Linked DNA regions of Struthio camelus. The protein of the gene in region 2 purifies or fractionates together with the protein of the main gene of each other region. This does not show direct contact. Links are inferred from orthologs where the notes say so. Each region holds a gene or a part of one and is shown on either strand. Other genes may lie near its edges.

Region 1 (7,487 bases), on a different chromosome or scaffold from region 2:
TTGACACCTGTTGCACTTGCTAACAACATATTTATTACAGAAAATAGTATTATTTTCCTCATCACATACATTACTACTGTAGGCATCATTAATACTGCTTCCTTACCCACTGCTGGCCTTTTAAGCAGTTTTGCAGAAAAACACTATGCCACCCACACCACACTGAACATTCTAAGATTTTTATTATGTATGCTTTTAAAAAGCTTAGTTTACCTGTGTCTCATTGTAAACATTCACTACATTGATAGGTCTGTGGCTGTCACATACAAAAAAAAACGTGTCTTCTTCAGGCTGCAAGATCTCCAATAGGTCAACATTGGCACCACAATTAATAAGAACAAAGTACTTAAACTGCAAAAAAAAAACAAAAACAAAAAACCCACAAAAAAACAAAGTTACTTTTACTCCAACTAGCAGGAAACATGGAAGACTGAAAACACCTTAGAAAACTTCCAAAACACTTGTTATTGTTGAAATCTGTATTTACTTCCTGATATTTGATGCCTCAAAGGAAGAACAAAATTTTGTAAGATTTCGTGCAAATTCACCAAATTCCGGGATGCTGGACATCCAATATTGCTATCTTTCACATCTCAGAACAGATGCAAAATTAATTTGACCCTATGAGAATTACCGCCCATTAGTTTGTGCAGAAAACTTGACAAGTTTGTTATTGGTGCATTTAAACTTGCCCACTGTTTTGAGGTAAAACAATACTAGTATTAGTTTAAGAGCTTACATTTTAAGAATGTAAAGAGAAAAGGGGGGAAGCGCATTTATACATTGCGGTGCATCTCATATAGCCAGTTTTCAGTACTATTTTTACCTGATCTTTATGCTCAAGATAGGCAGTTTCAAGCTCTTGCCACCCAGATACTGGGACTAGCGTATATTGTACATGATCACATTGAAATAAAGCCTGAAAAGAAACAGAGAGCTGTCAGCTAAGGGAGGAAAACATACTCTGCCACAATGCTATACATATTCCACTACGATACTTCACTATCCTATAATTCTATTTAATAGAAATCTTTATCCTTAAGACATCCCAAATGACAATTCTACATGAACTTTGGCAGTAAGACTTACCAGGAGTCAGCCTCATGACTCATGGAGAAAATGCTGTAAGTTATAAAATTAGTTTAAAGGTTCTAAATCCTTCCCTCTTTCCTCAGTTCAAACCTATTAAAAGGATCCGACTGCATCATTCCTTTCACAGGTAGCCTACAACGATAACGAACAAAGACTTACTTGGAGTATTTTACAAGCACATAATGCATCAACATCTGAAGCAACGAGAAGAAGAACACGCTGCAAAAATAACAAAACAACAGTGTTAATATATTAGCGCAGGTGCCAAATCTAGTGCACTGGTAGGTATATCACTTTTAAGTTGTTCCTAAAAGCACTAGCTTCCCTATGTAAGATTTCAAGTCCTATGCAAAGATGCAATCCCAGAGAAATGCTTAGATCACTGTGAGAACAGAAAGGGAGGAATCTGGGGGGAGATCATTATAACCATAAAACATAATTGTTTTTGAAGGGACACTGCAACTAAAATAACTTCACCTGAAGCACTGTAAGTATTGGAACTATATTTACAATTCCATCTCACAGGAAGGTAAGCCTTACTTGTGACACGATGGTGAAATCACATTCAGAACATCAACTGCTTTGAGTAAACACGATTATTTTGACCCATATGAACAGTGTATAATTTTGAAGGGTCAAAGTTTGTCAATGCTACAACGATTTTAAAGCATATTTTAGGTAACATAAGAGATTACATATCTAGAATGGCCTCCATTTTCAACATGGTATCTGGAGCAGTTTTGACTAAGGAAAATCTGTAGCAAAAAACAGAGCAAGACAACTCCTGAAATAATCAGGTGAAAAAACTTTTTTTTTTTGGAGACCTTGCCCACAACTGGAGAATTTGAGGGAAATGCTTACATTTACACAATCCAGAGTACATTTACACAATCCAAGCTCCACTACTGTATAGTTTCATGGGTAGAAATATTAAAAGCCTGTCCAATAAAAGCTTTTTTCCAGACAAAAGCTTTACTGCTTTATTACATAGATCCACTCTGAACACAGTTAAGGAAACTGCGGGCAAAAAACCGCAAGTACCGATCAGCAGCAGCACTGCCGTCACAGAAGACTGCAAGAAAAACCTCCCAGTAGACAGAAGACAAAATTTAACATGTGGGCAAACACGACAAGGATTAAAAGGACAAAAAGAAGTAGCTTTAGGAATAGCTTGGTTAAACCAAAGAGATATTTAAAGAAAAAAAAAGTCAAAAAACTGAAAAGGCGGGTTTTACGTGAAACACCTGGTGAGAGCGAGGCGCGGGCTGCAGCTCTGAGGCAGGTTTCTCCCGCTGTAAAGGCGCCCAGGAGGGACCTTCGTGCAACCGCGGCCGGGCCCCCGCGACGGCCTAGGGGACCCCGGGGACGCGGGCACCAGCGAGGGGAAGGGGGAGACCCTGAGGCGCCGCGGCCGCCCCCGCTGTCCGCGCCGGGGACCCCGCGGGGCCTCCCGCGCTCCGAGAGGGGAGAGGAGGGACGGGAACGCCCGAGGGCCGGCGCCTCCGCCCGCCGCCGGGAGCGCCCGGCCCGGGACGGGACGGGACGGGACGGCCCCCCCGCCTGGCCCGGCCCGACCGGACCCGCGCCTCCCCCGCACCTGGCTGACGATCACGTCGTAAAACTCCCGGCGGCAGTCGGAGAGGAACATGGCGGCGGCGGCGGCAGGAGCAGAGCAGCAGCAGGCCGCCCCCAGTCAAACCAGGCGCCAAAGCACCGCCGCTCCCCATTGGCCTTCCCGCCACGCCCCAGTAGCCAATGGGAACTCTCTCACCCCTCCTTCGCATTAGAGGATCGGATTGGGCTAACTGCTCAACCTATTCAGAGCCTCCGCCAATCGGATTGGGGAAACGGAGCCACCGCCCTTGCGATTGGCCAATCCGCGGAGCGAGAAGCGCCGTACCAGCGTTGACTGCCATTCCGCCATCTTTGGCGAGGGCAAGGCGCTTACATTGCTATTCAGCGACACTGACAAAGACCATTTTAGCACGCCATGACAGTGTTGCCTACGGAAGGGCTGCGCGGCCAAAAAAGCTTCAGCAACGCCGCCCACCGCGGCGCTTGTGAGAATCCCGCCCCCCGCGAGGCGGCTGCCGGCATGGCGTGGGCCTGCCGCGCAGGATGCTGGGAACGGGGCGGGGCGGGGAGCGGGCCGGGCGCCGGGGCCGAGCTGCGCGGCGGCGGCGGAGGGGGCCGGCGGGAGCGGGGCCGGGGCCGGGGCCGGGGCCGGGGCCGGGGCCGGGGGAGGAGGAGGAGGAGAAGGAGGAGCTCGAGCGCCGCCCCTCTGCGCCTCAGCGCCGCCCGGGCCGGCGGGCACGGCCACCATGGTGAGGCCCGGGGCGGCCGCGCCGGGGGGAGGTGCCGAGTCACGGCCGGGCCCGAGCTGCGGCCCGGCGCGGGCGGTGCGGCCTGGCCTGGCCTGGCCTGTGTGCCGGCAGCGCGGCCGTCGCTGGCTGTTGTTGTCCGGAGGGAGGTTCTGCCCCTTTGCCGAGCGGAGCCCAGCTCGTAGCTTAGCGGCGAGGACGCGCTTCTCTGGCTTGGGCGGTTTTGTCTGCAAAGCGGCGTCTTCGATGCCGGTTTTCAGTCGGTCCGATGTTATTCTAAGTGTAATGCGGGGGCGTGCTTCCGTGGTTTTTCCCCGCACAGTCCTTGACGTACAGACCTTTATAAACTTTGTGCGTGTTATGTGAAAGAAGAACGGCGCTTTCCTTAATAGGGAAAGATAGGATTTCTAAACAGTTTTAGATGAAACAGAGTTCCAGAGACTTCAATATGCTTAGTGAATGCGGTAACGCTTTATTTCAGTATACTTCAGAAGCCATGTTAATTCACCGTTGCCCTTATTTGTTTTTTGTTTTTCTTCTTCCTTCCTTAGTTCTCTTTTAATATGTTTGACCATCCAATCCCACGGGTTTTCCAGAACCGCTTCTCAACTCAGTACCGTTGCTTCTCAGTATCCATGCTTGCCGGACCTAATGACAGGTCAGATGTGGAGAAAGGCGGGAAGAGTATGTGCATGTTTTATTTTGACTAATAAACTGTTGAAGGCTATTTGTGAATAATATCAAGTAATACTGCTTTTGGCCAAGACTGTAGAAACATTGAACAGTACGGAGACATGCTGTTCAGTGTGTGGCATGAGCAAGAAGATCACTGTGGGGGCTTATAAGAAGGGAGGAGGAGAGTTTTCCTTTTATTGCATTATTCTCTAATTTAAAAATTTAGTAACGAGTGAGTCCTGATCATTACAGGAAGCCTCCCTTTTTTTTTTTTCCCCTTTCTGAAGTCCCTTATTAAAATCTTATCACTGGTATGAGCCATAGCCAATGCTGTGTTGTTTTGAGTTGGCATCAGTTCAAGGGGACATGTAAGCCCCCAAAAGTACCTTTAGGAAGCATTTCCTTTAGTACTAGGTATTGTAAGATCTTGTCTTATCTAATTTCTAATTAAAATCTAAAATTCCTGTGTTAGCAGGTGTACTTGTTGTGACTGATTCTACTGGAATCTCTAGCTTAGATATTAACTTACGTGAGATTTTAGAGTAAATATTATCCTACAGGAAAGAATGATAAAACTGTAGATTATGTTATCTTTGTGCAGCCATACTTTTCCGAATCTTACTTTAACTCTCTTATTAATTTCTGCAGTAATTATGCCACCGTCTGCTTTGGATCAACTCAGTAAGTGCAAGCATTATTTTGGAATAAGAATTAGAAATACAAACATAGGCATAAGCAAGTATCGGAGTTTTTAAATTATCTCTCAAAATCTGACTTAAATAGAAAGCATGAGACCAAGTTTTTCAAAAGATGTATTTTTGGGGGTATTTTGTTTCTCAGAGTTAAGGGATTTTGTCTGTCTTTAAGTACAGACATCTGAAGTGTCAAGCTACCTGATACATGAATTAATGCTTATTAATTATTAATAACATTCACAGTGTAATGGTTGCAGTTAATCCAGTGAGTTCTTAATACCAACCTACTTGTTATGAACACTTTTATGAAGAAAATTTTATTTTAAAGACAGAATAAATGAAAATCAACTTTGAAATTGGGGAGATAGTTGCATTAATAGTTTAAATGGTGTTTATTGCCCCTTTTAACACCATTTTTTCTTCCTTCTGAGTGTTGTCTTTATTAGAATTTCTTTCAGAAACAAATTAAGTCAGGATTTATTTTTAAAATAGGCAAGGGATGTAAGAATTCTTTTGGAGCTAATTGTTAAGTGCCAAAGGGCATAACAATAATTTTTGGGTTTTTTTGCTAATACTCATTGCCTGGTCATCTCCAAGCTTGGGGAAATGCTGGGGAGGCATTTAAAGCTCTAAGTGTAATGGCAATACAGTACTCGTGTATCTGCTTTCTCTCCTGGATTTGTATTTTGGGGGACTTGGATTAAGGGGAGAGGGAATCTTCTCCTATATGCTATTCTCTTGCTAATGTTCAGTCTCTGAAAGCTTTGTAAATGTGCTAGTGTCTTTATAAATAAAATCCTTTTTCCTTCTCTCTCACCAGGCCGACTTAATATTACTTACCCAATGTTGTTTAAGCTGACCAATAAAAATTCAGACCGAATGACGCACTGTGGAGTGCTTGAATTTGTGGCTGATGAGGGCATATGTTACCTTCCACACTGGGTGAGTTGTCTCTTGCTGAACTGTCAGAACCTGATGGGGAGGATTAATGAGTTGCCAGTTAAATATTAAAGAGGCACAATGTTTGCTGAAATTGCATATCTTTGCTAGACCTGTTTCTACAGCTGCTTTCAGGTAAAGCTCAGGTTTCCCTTTGTATGACTTTAACTAAGTATGCAAAGCAGACTGCTTTTTAAGATGTACCTGACTGTTGTCTTCCTGAAATTAAAACACAAGTAAACTGGTGGATTTCAGGTAAGATGGTGGCCCAAATGTATATAGGTATATTCAAGTGAAAAAAAATAAAAAAAAAAAAACCTGTTGATATTGATTTGCATCTTTGTCTTCATTCTTCCAGATGATGCAGAACTTGCTGCTGGAGGAAGGAGGCCTGGTACAAGTGGAGAGTGTTAATCTTCAAGTTGCTACTTATTCAAAATTTCAGCCACAGAGTCCAGATTTTCTTGATATCACCAATCCCAAAGCTGTGTATCCTTCTTATTCAGCTATGGAGCAGGGAACAAAAGATTTCTCCCAAACTGGGATGATGAAGCAGGGTCAGCTTTTCAGGTGTTGTTCATACTTTTCCAGAAGGAGGTAACTACTATTGCTCCTTCTGAAGACGAAAAGGAGGGAGGGCTTATGTACAGAGAAGTTGCAAGCTGCTAGCACAAAGCGTAGTCTAGAGTGAGAAAGCATGCATCTTGGCTTAAAGTGCAGTAAGTTTGAGTGTCCTTTGGAATATCTACAGAGGATGTTGTATTCCTTAATATTTACTAAAAGGCTGTCCATGGTACTGATGACTTTTAAACCATCTTTGAGAGATCAAGGACCACAGTTCTATATCTTAGTAACTTTAAAGCTTTGATGTTGCATTGAATACAAATGTGTTTCGTCTTAACATACTCCAAAGATTAGAAAATGCGTTGAGAAACTTTGCTTGTCTAACTACTGGGGATGTTATTGCCATCAACTATAATGAAAAGGTACAGTATACATTATGTATACAGGTTTAATCTGGATGCCATGAATCTGAGGAAAGAAATTTTGCTCCGTGTTTTTAAAAAAAAAAAAAAAACCTACATTTCAGTGTATCACGACAACTTACGTACTTTGACTACACCTTGTGAATAGATTTGATAGATGGGGATTAGTGGATGAAGCTTTTGGCAGCCCATGTTCACGTTTGATCCTTTCGAGTTGTGGACTAAGCACAATTGTTGGATGTTGCTGCAAAAACAATCAACATGGAGCTGTGCAATATTGTTGACATGTAAATCCCAGATGGTAGATTTCGCAATCAGTTTTCTATTGAAAAATAGGGTCAATTAAATCCTCCTCTGAGCTTCTATTTAGACTGGTCTTTGAGTCAACAGAGAAAACATAATTTGATGCTGTTGAAGTTCTTACAAATCGTGGGACAGAAATTATCCTGAATCCATAATTTGCTTTCAGAAATGCAGGTTGACAATAAGAGGTAGGTTTCTTAGCTCCAGGATATAGCAGTCTTATGTCTAGGTTAATTCCTTTGTTCTCGTATTTTATAAATACCCTGCAGTATCCAGTCCTCAACGTAAAGAGCATGTATTTCAATTTACTTCGAACTTTCTGAAGGGAAGGTTTAGCTATGCTTTTCTCATACCGAAATTGTGCTCCTTCGTCTATAATCTTAAAATAATCATTACTGTTTCAGATCTATGAGCTCCGAGTAATGGAGACCAAACCTGATAAGGCTGTGTCCATCATAGAATGTGATATGAATGTA
Region 2 (7,182 bases):
AAGAATATAGTACTTGCATAGTTCATTTCAGAAGTACCTCTTCAGCCTTTAAAATTAATTTAAGACTACTGGTAAAAGGTCTTGATGATAAGAAGTTAAAAAAGGTTTATGTCACCGGTACTGTAACATCTTTGTGTCCTGTGAGCTGGTCACATTCACTTTATAGCACTGCGAAGTTGATAAACTAATTTACAGAACAACGTTTCCTACAACTATAACATATAGGGACTTTGAAGAGCTACTAAAGAGCAAGACCACTTAGACAGAATAAATTAATACTTCAAATATTTTATAAATAGCAACAATGAACATCATTATTATCCCAAAAAAATGTTTATCATTATTATCCCCAAAAATATTTTTTTTTTCCCAGTGTTTCTACTGCCACTCAATTTGAACTGATGCCATTAGTCAGCATGATCTGCTTCCATCTTGTGATGTTACAGCCTTATAATTGCAAGGAGGTAAAGAGAAATCTTGATGTCATCTAACTATTGCTGACAAGCAGGATAAGGGAAAAATCTGAAGCATAACACATCACTTTCAAGATTACAGAATTACCAAACTAAAATAGACTCCTATCAACACTCCTCTCCTCAACCCCTTCTTTCTCAAGAGGACACCCATTATCATCATCCCTGCCTGACTTCACATGCACTGATGTTAAATCATTGAGTGCTAGGATTTGTACTTTCTCTGTAAATAAAACTGCTATCTCTATATAGCAGAACTATAGACCTCTGTGGACACAATGCCTGCTGTAGTAATGTGGACACAAGTGATGCTGAAACATTGAAACACAGTAAGCAAGCGCAGAAATAGAATTTAACTTAGTTGGGAAACCATTTGGGATTTTCTGCCAAAAATATATACCTCTGCTCTAGGTTTCTTTTCTTTTTTCAGTTGCTTAATGGATTCAGTCCTTCTTTCTTTCTCCTTTTTTCTCCTTGGTTTTCCTATAGATTTTTTGGCTGTCTCTTCTTCAAAATCATGTTTATGTTTTCTGTATTTTTTCCCAGATTTTAGGGGTCTCTCCTCTCCCAACTCATTCTCAGGAAAGTCCGACTTTTTGCTCGTTTCAAAGTTTTCAACTTGCAATCGGTCACCAGTGTCACTGTCCTCACTATCCAGCAGACCTTGGCGAACTCGATGAGATTTTTTGTTCTTCTGGGCAGTAATGTTCTCCTTTTCCTCTCCATTTTCCATGACTCCACCCAGAGTATCATTCTTTTTAGAAGAGCCACTATCTTCTTCATGTTCACTTTCACTATCCCGAAGCAACCTTTTGCTTTTTGTTTTTTTACTTAGAAAAATCTCTTCCTCTGAATCTGACAAAATATATTAAAAAAGGGATGCATGTTATAGAGAGGTGAACTCCATTAATAAGCAATCACTTAAATACAGCCTACATATAAGCCTACTAAATTTCACAGATTTCAACAATTATAGCAAAATAACTTGAATTCAAAATCCACTTGTTTCCTATCATGCAATACATAATTGACCCAAACTGATGCTATAGGTTTTTAGACTTAAAAAAGCTAAAGACCATTCACAAATAATTAGTAACAGCCCCTAAAATAAAAATAAAAATACAGTAACTAAATAAGTGCATATCATGTTGCCCTTGGTAGATTAAGCAAATCAAAAAAAGAAAGAAAATAAGCAATTAAGATATTCACATCCCATTTATCTTTTTGAACCTCAAGAACTGGTTTTCTGATGTTTTCAGATATCTGTCTGCCCGCATTCTTAGCGGCCAAAAGGGCAGTTTGGATTCATACAGGTGCAACAAAAACACGCAACTTTCAGAAGGTCAAAGATCATGTAGTCTCAACTTTCACTATTGAAGACAATCACCTCCAGGCACGATTTACAGAAATATTACAGACCTCTGTCATCAAGAGATGCTCTCTCCTTGTTGAGGTGACCTGGAGAGCCTGTTTCACAGCTGCCCTGTCCACTGTCAGAATCACTATCAGTGGTTTTCTGCAAGTCTGATTTCAAATCTTCTAAGTGAAACTACAAAGCAAAGTAAAATCATCCTTAATATGGTAAGTGTTGTTTATGTAGTAATGACTCATGCAGTTTAACTTAGTCCAAGACCTTGGCTAACTCTTTACATAGGAATATATGCACACATATTATTAAGAATTAATTCACCTTTACACGGAGGGGAATTATGCAACATCAACCTTTATTGGCTTTTAAATATGTTTAATGTGAGCTTGCACAAGGAAAAAAAAGAACATACTGGAAGATCTCTACTGACATTACTCAAAATTACTAGAATGAAGTAATTGATGAGAAACTTTGAAATTTCATCTCCGAAAGCGGCATTTTACACAGTGCAGGGGGAGGGACCAGACGCTTGTGGGTGCTCTCTAGAAAGCAGCCCTGAGACGAGGCGCGGGGGCCGCGCACGGCGACGCAGGCCGGAGGGAGAAGGGTGCTGGCCCCGCACACGCGGGCCCCGCGACGCTTCGCTCAGGGCCGGCCCCGCTCCGTGCCGGCCCCGGCCGCCCGGGGCCCGCAGCCGCCGGGGCCGGCCCTCACCGGCCGCCCCCGGTGACGGCGGTGCCGCCTAGGCCGCAGCGCCTCTCCCAGCACGCACCGCGCCCGGAACGGGCACCAGCCTTCCCAGCATGCACCGCACCCGCCCCCCGACAGGGCAACCAACTTCCCAGCATGCACCGCCCGCGCTAAGTGGAATGAGCCTCCGCAGGGCACGCTGGGAAGCGTAGTCCGTCCGAGGTACGGGGGAGGCGAGTCCGGCGAAGGCGCGAAGCCGCCGGCGCGCTCCGGTAATCGAGAGGACACTGCCGCCTCACTCGCTGCCCGTCCCCGCCGGCCTCCCCGCCGCGACCAGAGGAGCACCAAGCCCACGGGAAGGCAGCGGGCCGCCGCTGGCCGGCCGCACAGAGCAGCGGAACTCACCTCACCAGGAGCCGCCGCCATAGCTCAGCCCGAGCGCCCACCCCGGCACCCGCGGCCCGGCGCCACACAAACCCTCCGGCCGCCCAGCCGGGTAGGAAACCGCTTCGAGTCTTCGCGCGCTGCCCAAGGCCCGCCCCGCCTCTGGGGCCAACCAATCGGCACTTAGAGCTGCCCTGACAGCCCCGCCCCCTGCGAGCTTTATTGGACGATTTCCCGCGAAGTCCCGCCTCCCCTCGCCTCGCCCAATCGTGGCTCTCCCTTCAAGGCTTTGCACGCCCTATAAGCCCGCCATTGGGCAGCCCCCTCCCCCTGCTGTCAGAACCTTGGAGTGACTCGTTGGCCGCGGGGTGGTTGGAGGGGTGCGCTGCCAGCCGCTCTGGCCGCCGTGGCGGTGCGAGGTGCCCTGACGGTGGCGGCGGGCCGGGCCGTGGGCCCGGAGCGAGAGGGCCTTGCCGGGCCGCGGGGGTGGCGTGGCGAGCCCGCTGCGGGGGCAGAGCCGCGTCGGCGTGGGCCTGCCCCCGCGCGTCCGGCGGCGGTTAGGAGTGGGGGTGTACCGGCCTTCCCGCTGCCGGGCGGGTGAGTACGGATAAGCGCTCGCACCGGAGCGCCGGAGCATCCCGCGAAGTGCAAACAGGAACCTGCTGTCCGCCCATGAAGGCAAACCCGGGAGGGGAAGGGGGAAAAAAGTATATACTCTGAAGTAGTTGTTATCCATCGCAGTGCTGCGGGGGATGCTGAACAGATGGGCTAATCTGCTATGATAGTTCCCATCTAGCCCACACATCCTAGAATGGAGAAGTGAGAAAAGCAAACGCCCCTGAGGCTTACTGCAGGCGTCACAACGCAATGCTGGTTTCTGTGGCGGTATTTAGTAACGGGAGAGGCAGCTGCTGGCACTGCAAAAACATCATTAATGAATATGGTTAAGATACCGTCTCTCAGGTAACCTGCCTAAGTAGATGTAAAAGTAGATGTAAAAGATGTAAAAGAGAAAGGAAATAAAATGAATGTAGATGTTTTCAGCATAAGGGTGGGAGAACTTTCAGAAATAAGGTCCTGACCACTTTGGCTGTCAGGATGCCGCAACTTATACTTATTTATCAGGTTAATTGCTTTTCTGCTTTTTTTTTTTAAGCTTTTCATGCGTTAAATACAGGCTTCTTTTGTCATATTCAGCATCTTACAGGACCAAGCCTTTGTACTGCAGATTCCATGAGGCAGAGATTGTGTATTTGTTTTTTAAGTACTGTTTAAATAGCACTATGCACACATATGTATGCTGAATAATAGCATAGAAATGTTGCTGGCCAGCATGGGTTTTTTTTTTTTTTACAAGTCTTGTAACGCTGGTGTTTCCCTCAAATATTCAGCTAGTGTCAGGCAGTTATGAGACCTGCAGATTTGATTTTCTTTTAAAAGGTTTTTGATGCTTCTACTTGTAGAGAAGGTCTTGAAAAAATAAATGTTGCAGGTTTAAAAAAAAGCAAATAAAATGGACACAGCATTTATTATTTACAGAATGTTTTGACTTCTGACCTACTTGTGAGTCAGCTGAGAATTGTTGACTTAACAGAACTCAATGGTAGCAAGAGAAAAGTGGGATGTGCAAGGAAGCCGTTCACTAAAATAGCAAAGCTTCTTAAAAGGCAAAGCATCAGTAACCCCTGGGCTGAAAAAGCAGAGACAAACTGTGTTAAACTGCAGGTAACAAAATCAAAACTACTGGGTTGCACTGCATGTCTAGGAGCATCTCAGCAAGCAGAGCGCTGGCAGGACCCTTGATTTTAGGTTCCTGCACGCTGTGTCCTCCGCGACCTAAACATCTGAAATCCAGCGTCCGTCAGCCCCTTTCTCTCCCAAGGCGTATCCTCAGCCTTATGAGATCCCTCCTGCGGCTATGCAAGACAGAGGGTCTAGCGGTTGCTTCTGCAGCAAGGGCTCTACTTTAAGGGCCTCTCCCTGGCTGTTAATTAAAACTAATAATAAAATAAAGCCTACCAAAGTTATTGTCTGTGAGCCCACCCCGTTGCCAGTGCTGGTTGAAACCAGCCCGTGGGATCTTCCCTGATGGAAGGGGGAAGAGAGGTTGACCAAAACAAGCCCAAAAATGGGTGTACGGTGTGAGTCCTGAAAGGTGCACCAAGAGTTTAATAACCAAACTAGCTGGCTTAATAACCAAACCAGCTAATTCCCTACCACAGTACTTTTTCAGAAGGTGCCTGAGTGACATCCCATGGTTATTATTGATCTCTGCGTCAGCTGTTAGCTGCTGGGTAGACACCGATCATTAGCCCTGGCAAACAAGCCTATCGCACTTACTACACATTTTTCGCCCACAAAATTTGTTAGTGGAAGTGTTGGCCCTGCTTACAGCCCTGAAGGGCATTAAAATTTGCAGCCGTTCACGGTGACTTTTACACGTTATTTTTTTCAGGTATTTTAACCAGAATTACTGCTGTTTCGCTGGTGTAGGAAGTTATACCGGGTGTAATTAAGTTAGGCGAGTTCCCCGTTTCGGGGGTGGGGGACGGGAAGAGCGGAGGAAGTCGTTACCGCGGGCTGTGGGGTTTAGGCGCTGTATTTTGCAATGGAAGATAAACGCAGAGTTTGAGAGACGCAGTGTCACTATTTCCAAGCTTCGGGTGGTCGGAGGGCTAATTCTTCAACCTGTGAAATTCTGGAAGGAGAGGAGAGAGAGAGGGAAAAAAGGAAGTTCTCTAATAAAAGGACCTGAGTAAATACACCCGTGCAGTCAGTAAAGGAGCTTTACTGCGCAGAGATGCCAAAAAGGGGAGGGGGGGGCTGAGTTCCACCTCCGAGGGCAGAGTGCGGGGGAAAACCTGCTGATTTCTGACAAAATGCCCCCAAATACACGGGGTGGGGGCCGGGGGCGGCGCTGCTGTCATGGCGGGGGCGGCCCCGTCAGGGCGGCGCTGTCATGGCGGGGGCGGCCCCGTCAGGGCGGCGCTGCGAGGGCGCCGCCCCCCCCGCGCGCGGGAAGCGGCCGCCGGCGCCGCCCCTCACCTGTTGCCGCGCCGGCGTCGAAGGGGTGCGGGCGTGCGCGCCCCCGGCGCCAGGGGGCGGAGCGCGTGCGCGCGCGTGCCCGCGGCGCCGGCCAGCGTGGAGGCGCCTCTTCGTCCTCCTTCTCCTCCGGCGGCTCCTGCTCGCTCGCGTGCGCGCGCGCGCGCGCGGGGAAGGGGGGGGTGGCGCGCGGCGGCGGCGGCGGCGCGCGCGGGCTCGGCGGCAGCGCAGCGCAGCGGGGGGATTGTTTGCGCCGCCGCTCGGCCGAGCGCAGCGCGGTAGACCGCTCCCCGCCGCCGCCGCGTCCCGTTCCGCCACCCCCCCCCCTCACCCCGCAGCCAATATTCCCGAGATCAAGCGTTACGCGGCGGCGGCGGGGCCGGCGGCGGGGCCCGGGGCGGTCGTCGGGGCCGGCGGGGACCGCAGCGAGGCCGCCGCCGCCATGGAAGCGCTGGGACCCGGTGAGAGCCGCGGGCGGGCCGGGCCGGGCCGGGCCGAGGGCGGGCGCGGCCTGGCGGGGCGCGGGCGCCGCCGGCCCTGTCAGGCGCGAAGGGCGGCGGGGCCGGGCCGGGCGCAGCGCGGAGGAGGCCGCGGCCCGGCGGGAGCTGCCGCAGCCGGCGCGGCCTGGGCGCGGAGCGGGGCCGCGCTGCAGGCCGGCTCTGACCCGCCGCTCGGCCCGGCCCGGCCCGGCTCCCCCCGCCGGAGAGGAACTTGGCCGCGAAACTTGGCGGGCGGGTCGCAAACAGCAGAAGTTTGGTGTTGGGGCTGCCGGGCGCCTTCCCCTCGCCAGGGCAGATAGGGCATTGCCGTAAGCGCAGCTGCGGGGCTCTAGGCGTGGAAGTGACTTGGAATCGCGATGGCACGGAGGTGTGACAGCACGCGTGGGCTTCCGACCCTGCCCGCCAGCGCGCTTGCGGCAGGTCTTTTCCTAGTGACGAGTTGTAGTGTTTGGCGTGAGTCTGTTTTGTTTTTAAGGGCTTACGGTTGATACTTTCTGGAAGGGTGAGCGCTGATTTTTCAAACAGTCTGCCGTTCAATATTGGCCTTATTACGCATGTGGCGTTTTCCTAATTCTATCTTATTCTGTGGCTCTTCTTCCATAAAATGTCTGCGAGATGTATTTCTTGACCAAAGCGGTCCAGTGTATGTTATCTACCATATCTGTGATCAAACCCTTGGTGTAATCGAAGTAGTGTTAATTTCGGTGCAATAGGAAAGTTTACT

What was found. Proteins that work in one complex are often made in the same cells at the same time.
Region 1: the proteins of CLSPN (region 2) and CDC45 purify together in Homo sapiens (affinity purification with western blotting; 4 studies listed by BioGRID and IntAct, with this or other methods). This does not show direct contact. The link is inferred for Struthio camelus from reciprocal best matches to the Homo sapiens genes CLSPN and CDC45.

What each region holds. Positions count from the first base shown.
Region 1 is NC_090958.1:10,664,182-10,671,668, reverse strand, and holds the start of CDC45 (cell division control protein 45 homolog), read right to left. Parts: upstream 2,848-7,487; 5' UTR 2,741-2,847; coding exon 2,690-2,740; intron 1,312-2,689; coding exon 1,252-1,311; intron 920-1,251; coding exon 827-919; intron 352-826; coding exon 214-351; intron 1-213. Other genes in the region: UFD1 (ubiquitin recognition factor in ER-associated degradation protein 1), read left to right, coding at 2,848-3,152, 3,965-4,071, 4,737-4,769, 5,604-5,725, 6,081-6,211, 6,636-6,708, 7,416-7,484. UniProt on the Homo sapiens protein: Required for initiation of chromosomal DNA replication. Core component of CDC45-MCM-GINS (CMG) helicase, the molecular machine that unwinds template DNA during replication, and around which the replisome is built.
Region 2 is NC_090964.1:10,022,883-10,030,064, forward strand, and holds the start of CLSPN (claspin), read right to left. Parts: upstream 3,081-7,182; 5' UTR 2,959-3,080; coding exon 2,938-2,958; exon of another isoform or gene 2,700-2,937; intron 2,023-2,699; coding exon 1,893-2,022; intron 1,329-1,892; coding exon 874-1,328; intron 1-873. Other genes in the region: AGO4 (protein argonaute-4), read left to right, coding at 6,815-6,911.